Saccharomyces cerevisiae S288C: one gene and its partners. Changing the gene in region 1 together with any one later gene gives a genetic interaction. Each region holds a gene or a part of one and is shown in the gene's direction. Other genes may lie near its edges.

Region 1 (3,175 bases):
CGAGAAAAGGGTCATGTCTGCTGTTAACGTTGCACCTGAATTGATTAATGCCGACAACACAATTACCTACGATGCGATTGTCATCGGTGCTGGTGTTATCGGTCCATGTGTTGCTACTGGTCTAGCAAGAAAGGGTAAGAAAGTTCTTATCGTAGAACGTGACTGGGCTATGCCTGATAGAATTGTTGGTGAATTGATGCAACCAGGTGGTGTTAGAGCATTGAGAAGTCTGGGTATGATTCAATCTATCAACAACATCGAAGCATATCCTGTTACCGGTTATACCGTCTTTTTCAACGGCGAACAAGTTGATATTCCATACCCTTACAAGGCCGATATCCCTAAAGTTGAAAAATTGAAGGACTTGGTCAAAGATGGTAATGACAAGGTCTTGGAAGACAGCACTATTCACATCAAGGATTACGAAGATGATGAAAGAGAAAGGGGTGTTGCTTTTGTTCATGGTAGATTCTTGAACAACTTGAGAAACATTACTGCTCAAGAGCCAAATGTTACTAGAGTGCAAGGTAACTGTATTGAGATATTGAAGGATGAAAAGAATGAGGTTGTTGGTGCCAAGGTTGACATTGATGGCCGTGGCAAGGTGGAATTCAAAGCCCACTTGACATTTATCTGTGACGGTATCTTTTCACGTTTCAGAAAGGAATTGCACCCAGACCATGTTCCAACTGTCGGTTCTTCGTTTGTCGGTATGTCTTTGTTCAATGCTAAGAATCCTGCTCCTATGCACGGTCACGTTATTCTTGGTAGTGATCATATGCCAATCTTGGTTTACCAAATCAGTCCAGAAGAAACAAGAATCCTTTGTGCTTACAACTCTCCAAAGGTCCCAGCTGATATCAAGAGTTGGATGATTAAGGATGTCCAACCTTTCATTCCAAAGAGTCTACGTCCTTCATTTGATGAAGCCGTCAGCCAAGGTAAATTTAGAGCTATGCCAAACTCCTACTTGCCAGCTAGACAAAACGACGTCACTGGTATGTGTGTTATCGGTGACGCTCTAAATATGAGACATCCATTGACTGGTGGTGGTATGACTGTCGGTTTGCATGATGTTGTCTTGTTGATTAAGAAAATAGGTGACCTAGACTTCAGCGACCGTGAAAAGGTTTTGGATGAATTACTAGACTACCATTTCGAAAGAAAGAGTTACGATTCCGTTATTAACGTTTTGTCAGTGGCTTTGTATTCTTTGTTCGCTGCTGACAGCGATAACTTGAAGGCATTACAAAAAGGTTGTTTCAAATATTTCCAAAGAGGTGGCGATTGTGTCAACAAACCCGTTGAATTTCTGTCTGGTGTCTTGCCAAAGCCTTTGCAATTGACCAGGGTTTTCTTCGCTGTCGCTTTTTACACCATTTACTTGAACATGGAAGAACGTGGTTTCTTGGGATTACCAATGGCTTTATTGGAAGGTATTATGATTTTGATCACAGCTATTAGAGTATTCACCCCATTTTTGTTTGGTGAGTTGATTGGTTAACTACAGCTTATAAGGGAGAGAGGATAGGAACCGTCAAACATTAAGCTGCACCTTTTTTTTTTATTACAGAAGTCGGCTTGGAAGGCTTGTATAGTACATTACGATAAACACATCTTATTTTTATTTATTACTTATTTATTTTACATATTTTCAAAAAAATTCACATATCATTTATTATTAACCGAAGTGTTTTATACTTTTTGTTCTTTCCTTAAAAATGCCTCCAACAGAAAAGGAAAAATGGCTTGATATGCTTCAAAATATGCATTGAGATTCATATTCGGTTATCAATTAACGATATTACTTCCTTAAGTGATATTAAATCAAGCTTGCCGGATTCTGCAGTCAGAATTATACATAATAGTATTTGTGCTCTCGTAAATCCTTTCAGAATTACACCATAGTAGTCTTTGTGAATGTTCTACTTATTAGAATAGATTATTGCTAGTTTATCTCACTTTTCATTCCCCATATCCCTTTTTTTGCTCATCCCCCGGGGTATTTTATCAAGATAAAATTTTATATACATGCAGTGCGCGATAACTCCTAGAGAGGCAGTAATAGCAAAACAAAGACAGTATAAGCATTATTTGGGTATGGAAAGACCATTGTGGGTACGTTGGTTGAAAGTCTATGCAATTGGTGGCGCTATTATTGGAAGCGGGTTTCTGCTTTTCAAGTACACAACGCCAACAGATCAACAGTTAATCAGCCAGCTTTCCCCAGAATTACGTTTACAATATGAGAGGGAGAAAAAACTACGTCAGTCGGAGCAGCAGGCTTTGATGAAAATTGTTAAGGAAACTTCTCAAAGTGACGATCCAATTTGGAAGACGGGCCCCCTTCAATCACCTTGGGAAAGGAACGGTGATAACGTTCAAAGCAGAGATCACTTTGCTAAGGTGAGGGCGGAGGAGGTGCAAAAAGAAGAGTTGGCTAGGATCAGAAATGAACTGTCTCAGCTAAGATCTGAAACGGAGGAGAAAACAAAGGAAATAGTCCAGGATAAGCAGGTTAAAAGCTGGTGGCGCTTCTGGTAGATGGGTCGGGTCACTCAATTAGGAAGGGCAGCTTGAACTTTTGCATCCTAAAACATACGTCTGTGTCATTTATGATATATTATTTATTTGTACACTGTAAATAGGTTTAAAAATATAACTTCATACTTATTTTTAGCTATTTTAGTTCCCATACTTGGGGATGGAAAAAACATTGCGCAAGCCCGGAATCGAACCGGGGGCCCAACGATGGCAACGTTGGATTTTACCACTAAACCACTTGCGCTTGTTATTTATATGAGATTATTGCATCATGCAATGGGGTAATGTCAAGGTTCTTGACAATCCTAATATAAACAGTCTTAGGGAAGTAACCAGTTGTCAAAACGGTTTATCAGCTTGATTCACGGGATCTTACTTATCCTATATATTATATAAAATATGGATCATACTAAATGGTGGAAGCGCGGAATCTTGGATCTAAACCAATTGTTCAGATACTTATACGTTAGAGTAGGTTAGCTAAGGAAGGCAGAGTTTTATTTTCATGTTGCTCATTCTGTTCGTTTTGCTGTAAGGTTGTTTCATATGTGTTTTATGAACGTTTAGGATGATGTATTGTCATACTGAGGTATCCCATTCTGAGATACAACAGAGAAGGTTCCTTTATACT
Region 2 (3,625 bases), on another chromosome or scaffold:
TTGGTTTACTTTCCACGCAGATTGGCTGCTCTGTTTGTTTATTTGTTTTGGGAACGCGGTATTACCTCTCATTTCTCTGAGCGACTTTTCAACTTGGCGCGCCGACATTTGCGCTTTTTTTTACAAGTTGTCAAACTCTCGGATTATTTAAAAAAAAGGGTTTTTTGCTCTTCTTGTTCCCATCTACGGGTTTCACGGAAAAACTACCCCGAAAAAGAAGCACAGCTTTATAAAAAGACCGTATTAATTTGCTTTATTGGGTAATAACGGGGCATTCGGGACATACAATCATACGCTAGATGCTGCGTGTAATAATTAACATTGTAAATCCCTATCTTTTTTTTTTATATAAGTAGAGTACTTTAAAAAGAGTGGACGACTGAGTTCATATACAAGCAGACGCCCTTTCATTTAATCTCAATCTTGTTTCAGGCCGGCTTTTGTCCATAACTGCTACGCTGCGTAAAAAAAAAATAAGAGAAATTGAAAAATATGGGCGTCGTCTAAGGATGGTAACTAGCTTCATTATACTATGGGTCTTCCTTCTTTTCCAACGCTTCCACTTTGACCTCAATCTCTTCTCGATGGCCTAAGGTAGCAAGGTTGTGTTAAAAAAAACAAATACATCAGAGCAAGACACTTTTGGGTTTATTAGGTATTATAGGTATAGGTCAATTAATTTCTTATCTTTTGTTGAGAGGATAAGGGTAATATTAGCGACCCTTAAGTAATTTTTGTTCTGTTTTACTTCAGTTTAATAAAAGCGACTGCCGCCGACCTTACTCCCTTTTTTTTATTATGCTCCTCGAGACAAGGTCGCTTAAAAAAAAAAAAAAGCTTAGTCAGACATGCAATCAGCGCAATTTATGGAAGCTGGAAAGGGGGGCCGCATTTTATGCACTATCTCTTGAATTCAAAAAGTAATTCAGGCCAAATTAACTAAGGATGCAAATGAAGCGAGTACTGAACGAATAGTCATGTTCTGAATTTCAAGCATTCAAATTTTGCTTTTCAGCGCTGTTCATCTTAGCGCTTACCATAAAGAGGAATACGTAATTCAACAACGGAGTTGAAAAATTTTTAAAATCGTGCCGGTGTTAGTGAGAAGAGGATGGAGGGAATTAATACTTCGATGGAAGATGCAACTTGCAAATGTAGTCCGGTTACCAAGAGACCCAAACCTCTTCCACTTTACTATTTCTCCTTTGAGAAATATATCAGTTTGCGGTAATAGGTAATATGAAAAAGGCAATAAAAAAAAGAGATACTTGTCACCATCTCGTCTCCCTTTACCTTTTTTACTTAATCTTCTTCGTCGTCATCTGTTCCATCCCTTTCCTAGCTTAGTCTTCTCCGGCTAGTTCTTAGTGCGGTGAGCAAAAAAAATAGCGTTTTTTTTCCCTCACCAGGACTTTTTTTGTTAACCGAAAATCGGCATCTCTAGTTTTCCTGGACAAAAAAGGCAAAATGGAAATAAACACTCATACGAATCAGTAAAGATGTAAATAATCGCAGTAACGACTGCACAAGGATGTCAGAAAAAGCAGTTTAATTCCAGAAGTGGTTTTCCAATTTATCACACATGTACATGAAGGGAAATGTATAAATACGGTCTTCGTAAAACAAAGGATCTCTTCACCTGGTTTCTTCATTTATAAGTAGTGTCTTTTTCGGTAACTTAAGATATATCCTTATTTCTTTCCCACTTCTCGTTATTTCTTCTTTTTCCCTTTTCAAGTTCTTCTTTTTATTTATTATTAAGCTTATTTTAATTCTTAGATCGTTGTCACTATCTTTTGTCCTTATTGTTAAGAAACATTGCGAAGAAAAAGAATAATAAAAGAAACTCAGAAAAAAAAAAAGTTTCCTCGAACAAAAATATTATTATTTCAATAACTTTTTCTTTCTCTACATCCAATTTTTTGACCCTATTTTAACATTAATTTTTTGCTTTAATTTTAACTAATACCTAATTTCACTTAATATCTAATCATCTTCCTTTAACCCACAGAACAAAGAAGAAAAATAACAATGTCTACCTTTGAAACTTTAATTAAAAGAGGTGGTAACGAAGCCATCAAAATTAACCCTCCAACCGGTGCGGATTTCCACATCACTAGTCGTGGTTCCGATTGGTTCTGGACATGTTTCTGTTGTTACCTATTATTTGGTTTAATTTTAACATTCTTAATGTTCAGAAAACCAGTCAATGACAGATTCTTTTACCTTACCGGTATTGCTCCAAACTTTTTCATGTGTATCGCTTATTTCACCATGGCTTCTAACTTAGGTTGGATTCCAGTCAAGGCTAAGTACAACCATGTCCAAACTTCTACTCAAAAAGAACATCCAGGTTACAGACAAATCTTCTACTCTAGATTCGTTGGTTGGTTCTTAGCTTTGCCATGGCCAATTATTCAAATCTGTATGCTAGCTGGTACCCCATTCTGGCAAATGGCTTTCAATGTTTGTATTACTGAATTCTTCACTGTTTGTTGGTTGATCGCTGCCTGTGTTCACTCCACTTACAAATGGGGTTACTACACCATCGGTCTAGGTGCTGCTATTGTCGTTAGTATCAGTGTTATGACCACCAGTTACAACTTGGTGAAACAAAGAGATAACGATATCAGGTTGACATTCCTTGTTTTCTTCAGCATTATTATGTTCTTGTGGATTATTGCTTACCCAACTTGTTTCGGTATTACCGATGGTGGTAACGTTTTGCAGCCAGACTCTGCCGGTATTTTCTATGGTATCATTGATCTTATTTTGATGTGTTTCATTCCAACTTTATTGGTTCCAATTGCTAACCACTTCGGTGCTGACAAATTGGGCTACCATTTCGGACCTAGTGATGCCGAAGCAGTGATGGCTCCAAAAGCTCCAGTTGCTAGTCCAAGACCTGCTGCTACACCAAACTTGAGTAAGGACAAGAAAAAGAAGTCTAAGAAGAGCAAGAAATCTAAGAAGTCTAAGAAGTCTGAAGAATAAGCCAATCGTCATGTCAATTATGTGCTACTTTCTTCTTTCTTTCAATCATCTTTGAAGAATTTTCTACTTCAAGCCAATCCTATAAATGGATAAAACTGTCTTTATTGATTATTTGACAAGATTATTTTACTCCATCTTCAACTTTTATCATATTTTATTTTATTTTCCTGACGTTTCAATATTTTCGTTCGTTAAATTATCACCATTTCTTGTCGAATTTTTATTTTCTATCATAAAGTGCAATTCTAGACTCATTTTTTAATTTAATGGATCCATTTAATCCATTTCGTCAAGCAAGTATGTTTTCATAACAATATTTTGCTCAGTGCATTTTGATCAAGAAACGTATAGTTGATGATTAGAAACGAGCTTTTTTATGCCCATCGTCATCTATATATATATTTGTATCACTTTAATAGTTATTTTAATATTTGATAACAACCTTTCTAATAGTATTGTTATGGAAGGTTTAGTGCTGGAGGAAAAAAAAGAAAGATAAAGGCACGGTGCCTGCTTTGCGCGGCATTCTCGAGAAAAATAGTTCTCGGACTTTTGACGTGCCAGTGCAATTATCCGTACACAATTTTATATCAATCTACAGGCAAAATTATTACGTAAACAGACAAACTAC
Region 3 (2,929 bases), on another chromosome or scaffold:
GCGTTAGGACTTTTACTATAATGCTGGAATGATCGTGTTGCCATGTCGACAATGTCAGTTTTCTCTCTCAGTTCTCTTGAAAGTACATCACTACTCATCGCTAATACGGTTAAAATATCCAAACATTTCAGTTTATTCTCCAAGGGGGTATCCTGAATAGAAACTAGCTGAACTATTCTTTCGATTAAATCCAACGAAAACAAAGTCTCAAATTTGTCAACCCCATGCAACGCCCCGCAAATACCGTACATGGCATTTACAAGCCTGGTTAATATTGGTTGGTCTGTCGCATTCGAGAAAATTGGCTTCAGCGTTGGAAGTACTTCAACAATGGTCTTAAAGTCATCCGTTCGGATACTGCTACAGGCGTTCGAAACAATTGCGATAGCCTTCCTCTGCGCATGTATAGTTAAAAAATCGAAGAATTGGACGTAGATTGATAATTGGCCCGTTTTTAAAATGTCTCTCCCATGTACTCTAGAAATATATTCCACCGTTTCTAAAACTTGTTCTGCGAGGTCAATGTAACTGATCTCTACCAATTTTCCTTGTAAAATTGGTATAACGTGTTCATCAACAGCTATTGAAATAGATTCAGGGCAGACCTCAAAAAGATTATACATGCATCTACAAGCTTGCATTTGTAATTCTAATTCTTCCCGTAAAATTTTATCAGAGAGTATGGCAGCTATATTACCTATTAAGGTTTCCATCGGTATAATTCTATCGACAACCATTTGATTCATCATTAATATGTTTTCAGAAAGTTCTTTTAAACTCTCCATTGCAATATAAGGATCCTCGGAGGCATTCCCAGTATTCTCTATCAATTTAGAAATCCGCTCATTCCTTGCCGAACTCTCTGCGCTCCTCTCCATCCTTCCTCCAATCATCGATAAAATCTCGGGTAGTGTTCTTCCAACCGGGTGTTGCCCAAGTCCTTCACTTGTTTGTCTTCTTTGTTCTAGTCTTTGTGCGAATGTTTCCAAAATGTCAGGTAAATGTAGGGGGTTGCTGCCAAATTCATTATTATCGTGAGAACGTTCAAGTCCATCTTCTTCTTCATTTCTGTCTTCGTCACTGCCATTCTGAGTTCTATGATATCCATATAAAAGTCCAGAATCATCTTCATGATGGTAATCGTTATCGTCATCTTCACCATCATCTGCCTCAAAACTTCCGACGCTAGAAAGCATATGTTCATCTTCATCTTCATCAGGATAATAAGAGTACTCACCCTGTACATGGCCATCCTCATCATAGTCATCTTCTACCTGCGTATCCATCATATAATCACTGTTTTCGCTATGGGACTCATGTTCATCAAGGTTGTGCGAATTATTTTCAGACATGCTTGGCTACTCTTCTATTTTAAATGTTTATCCAAAATTTTCACACCTGAGATATATTGTTGTTAATAAAGCACACAGAAAGGAAAGTATCGATCCCAGAAAGTGGTCTTTCCCTGGGTATGATCAAAGCTATTCCCCTTTCCAACTACTGTTGGCTATGATCCCACAATTTGATTTCAGTTCAGAAAACCCAACCATTAGGACTTTACCCGGCGAAGGTGAAAGAAAAAATTTTTTTCCAGAAAAATGCGATGAGCTTTTGAAAAGTTGCAAATATTTGTAGTACTTTGGCTAAGCAGAGCTGATTCCTTTTGCTATACGTACATCACTGTCTATCGTCCATAAAAGATTTATTATAGTTGAATCATGCCAAGATCAAAACGTTCCAAGCTAGTCACTTTAGCACAAACCGATAAAAAGGGCAGAGAAAATAAAGAAAGAATTTTCGATGAAGTGAGGGAAGCCTTAGATACTTATAGATACGTCTGGGTCCTACATCTTGACGACGTAAGAACTCCAGTTTTACAAGAAATCAGAACATCTTGGGCAGGCTCTAAGTTAATTATGGGTAAGAGGAAAGTTTTACAAAAAGCATTGGGAGAAAAGAGGGAAGAAGAATACAAAGAAAATCTGTATCAATTGAGTAAGCTTTGTAGCGGTGTCACTGGTTTATTGTTCACTGATGAGGATGTCAACACTGTCAAGGAATACTTTAAGTCATACGTTCGTTCAGACTATTCAAGACCGAACACGAAAGCACCACTAACATTTACAATTCCTGAGGGCATTGTCTACTCACGTGGTGGTCAAATTCCAGCTGAGGAAGATGTTCCAATGATTCATTCTTTAGAGCCAACTATGAGAAACAAATTTGAAATTCCAACTAAAATCAAAGCTGGTAAGATCACCATTGACAGTCCATATTTAGTTTGCACTGAAGGAGAAAAATTAGATGTTCGTCAAGCTTTAATACTGAAACAATTCGGTATCGCTGCTTCTGAATTCAAAGTCAAGGTGTCGGCCTACTATGACAACGATAGCTCCACTGTTGAAAGCACTAACATCAACATGGAATAAGCTGAACTATTATTTGGAAGCCTTTTTTAATAGACCATTGTATAAAAATTTCTTTTTTTTGTATAGATATACTAAAGCAACGCTCATAAATGTAACATAGCTTCTTTTCAACTGAGAATTTATATTCATGCTAACTAAGCGTAAATCACTTTTGATCTTCACAGCTCTTTAGCGGCACGAAAGCAAGAAAAAAAGATAACACTGTATGTCTGGAAAAGAATACTATAAAAATACCTGTTTACATAAACCAATAAGGAAGAACGTGAGAGCAGGACCGTAAAAGAATTAATGTGTAAAGAATTAATGTGTAATGGTTATACTACTTAAAAACACCGTTTTCCTTCAAATATCCTTTTTCGTTGGAGTACTGTCAGTTGGAGTAGTGGAACTTTCATCACTTTCTTCGTCTGATTCACTATCACTTCTGTCATCCTTGAGAATACCTCTCCATAGAATCCTGTAAAGAACTCTAAAAATAAGGAACAGCCAATAAAGATTCA

Evidence for each region.
Region 2: mutations in CBP4 (region 1) and MRH1 together harm fitness more than expected from each alone (negative genetic interaction), as found in Saccharomyces cerevisiae (2 studies listed by BioGRID).
Region 3: mutations in CBP4 (region 1) and MRT4 together harm fitness more than expected from each alone (negative genetic interaction), as found in Saccharomyces cerevisiae (2 studies listed by BioGRID).

Annotation. Positions count from the first base shown.
Region 1 is NC_001139.9:845,262-848,436, reverse strand, and holds CBP4 (Cbp4p), read left to right. Parts: upstream 1-2,031; coding exon 2,032-2,544; downstream 2,545-3,175. Other genes in the region: ERG1 (squalene monooxygenase), read left to right, coding at 14-1,504; YGR174W-A (uncharacterized protein), read right to left, coding at 1,696-1,782.
Region 2 is NC_001136.10:506,116-509,740, forward strand, and holds MRH1 (Mrh1p), read left to right. Parts: upstream 1-2,031; coding exon 2,032-2,994; downstream 2,995-3,625. Other genes in the region: LYS14 (Lys14p), read right to left, coding at 3,622-3,625.
Region 3 is NC_001143.9:424,524-427,452, forward strand, and holds MRT4 (ribosome assembly factor MRT4), read left to right. Parts: upstream 1-1,718; coding exon 1,719-2,429; downstream 2,430-2,929. Other genes in the region: putative ubiquitin-protein ligase UFD4, read right to left, coding at 1-1,352; sphingosine N-acyltransferase LAC1, read right to left, coding at 2,772-2,929. UniProt on the Saccharomyces cerevisiae protein: Component of the ribosome assembly machinery. Nuclear paralog of the ribosomal protein P0, it binds pre-60S subunits at an early stage of assembly in the nucleolus, and is replaced by P0 in cytoplasmic pre-60S subunits and mature 80S ribosomes.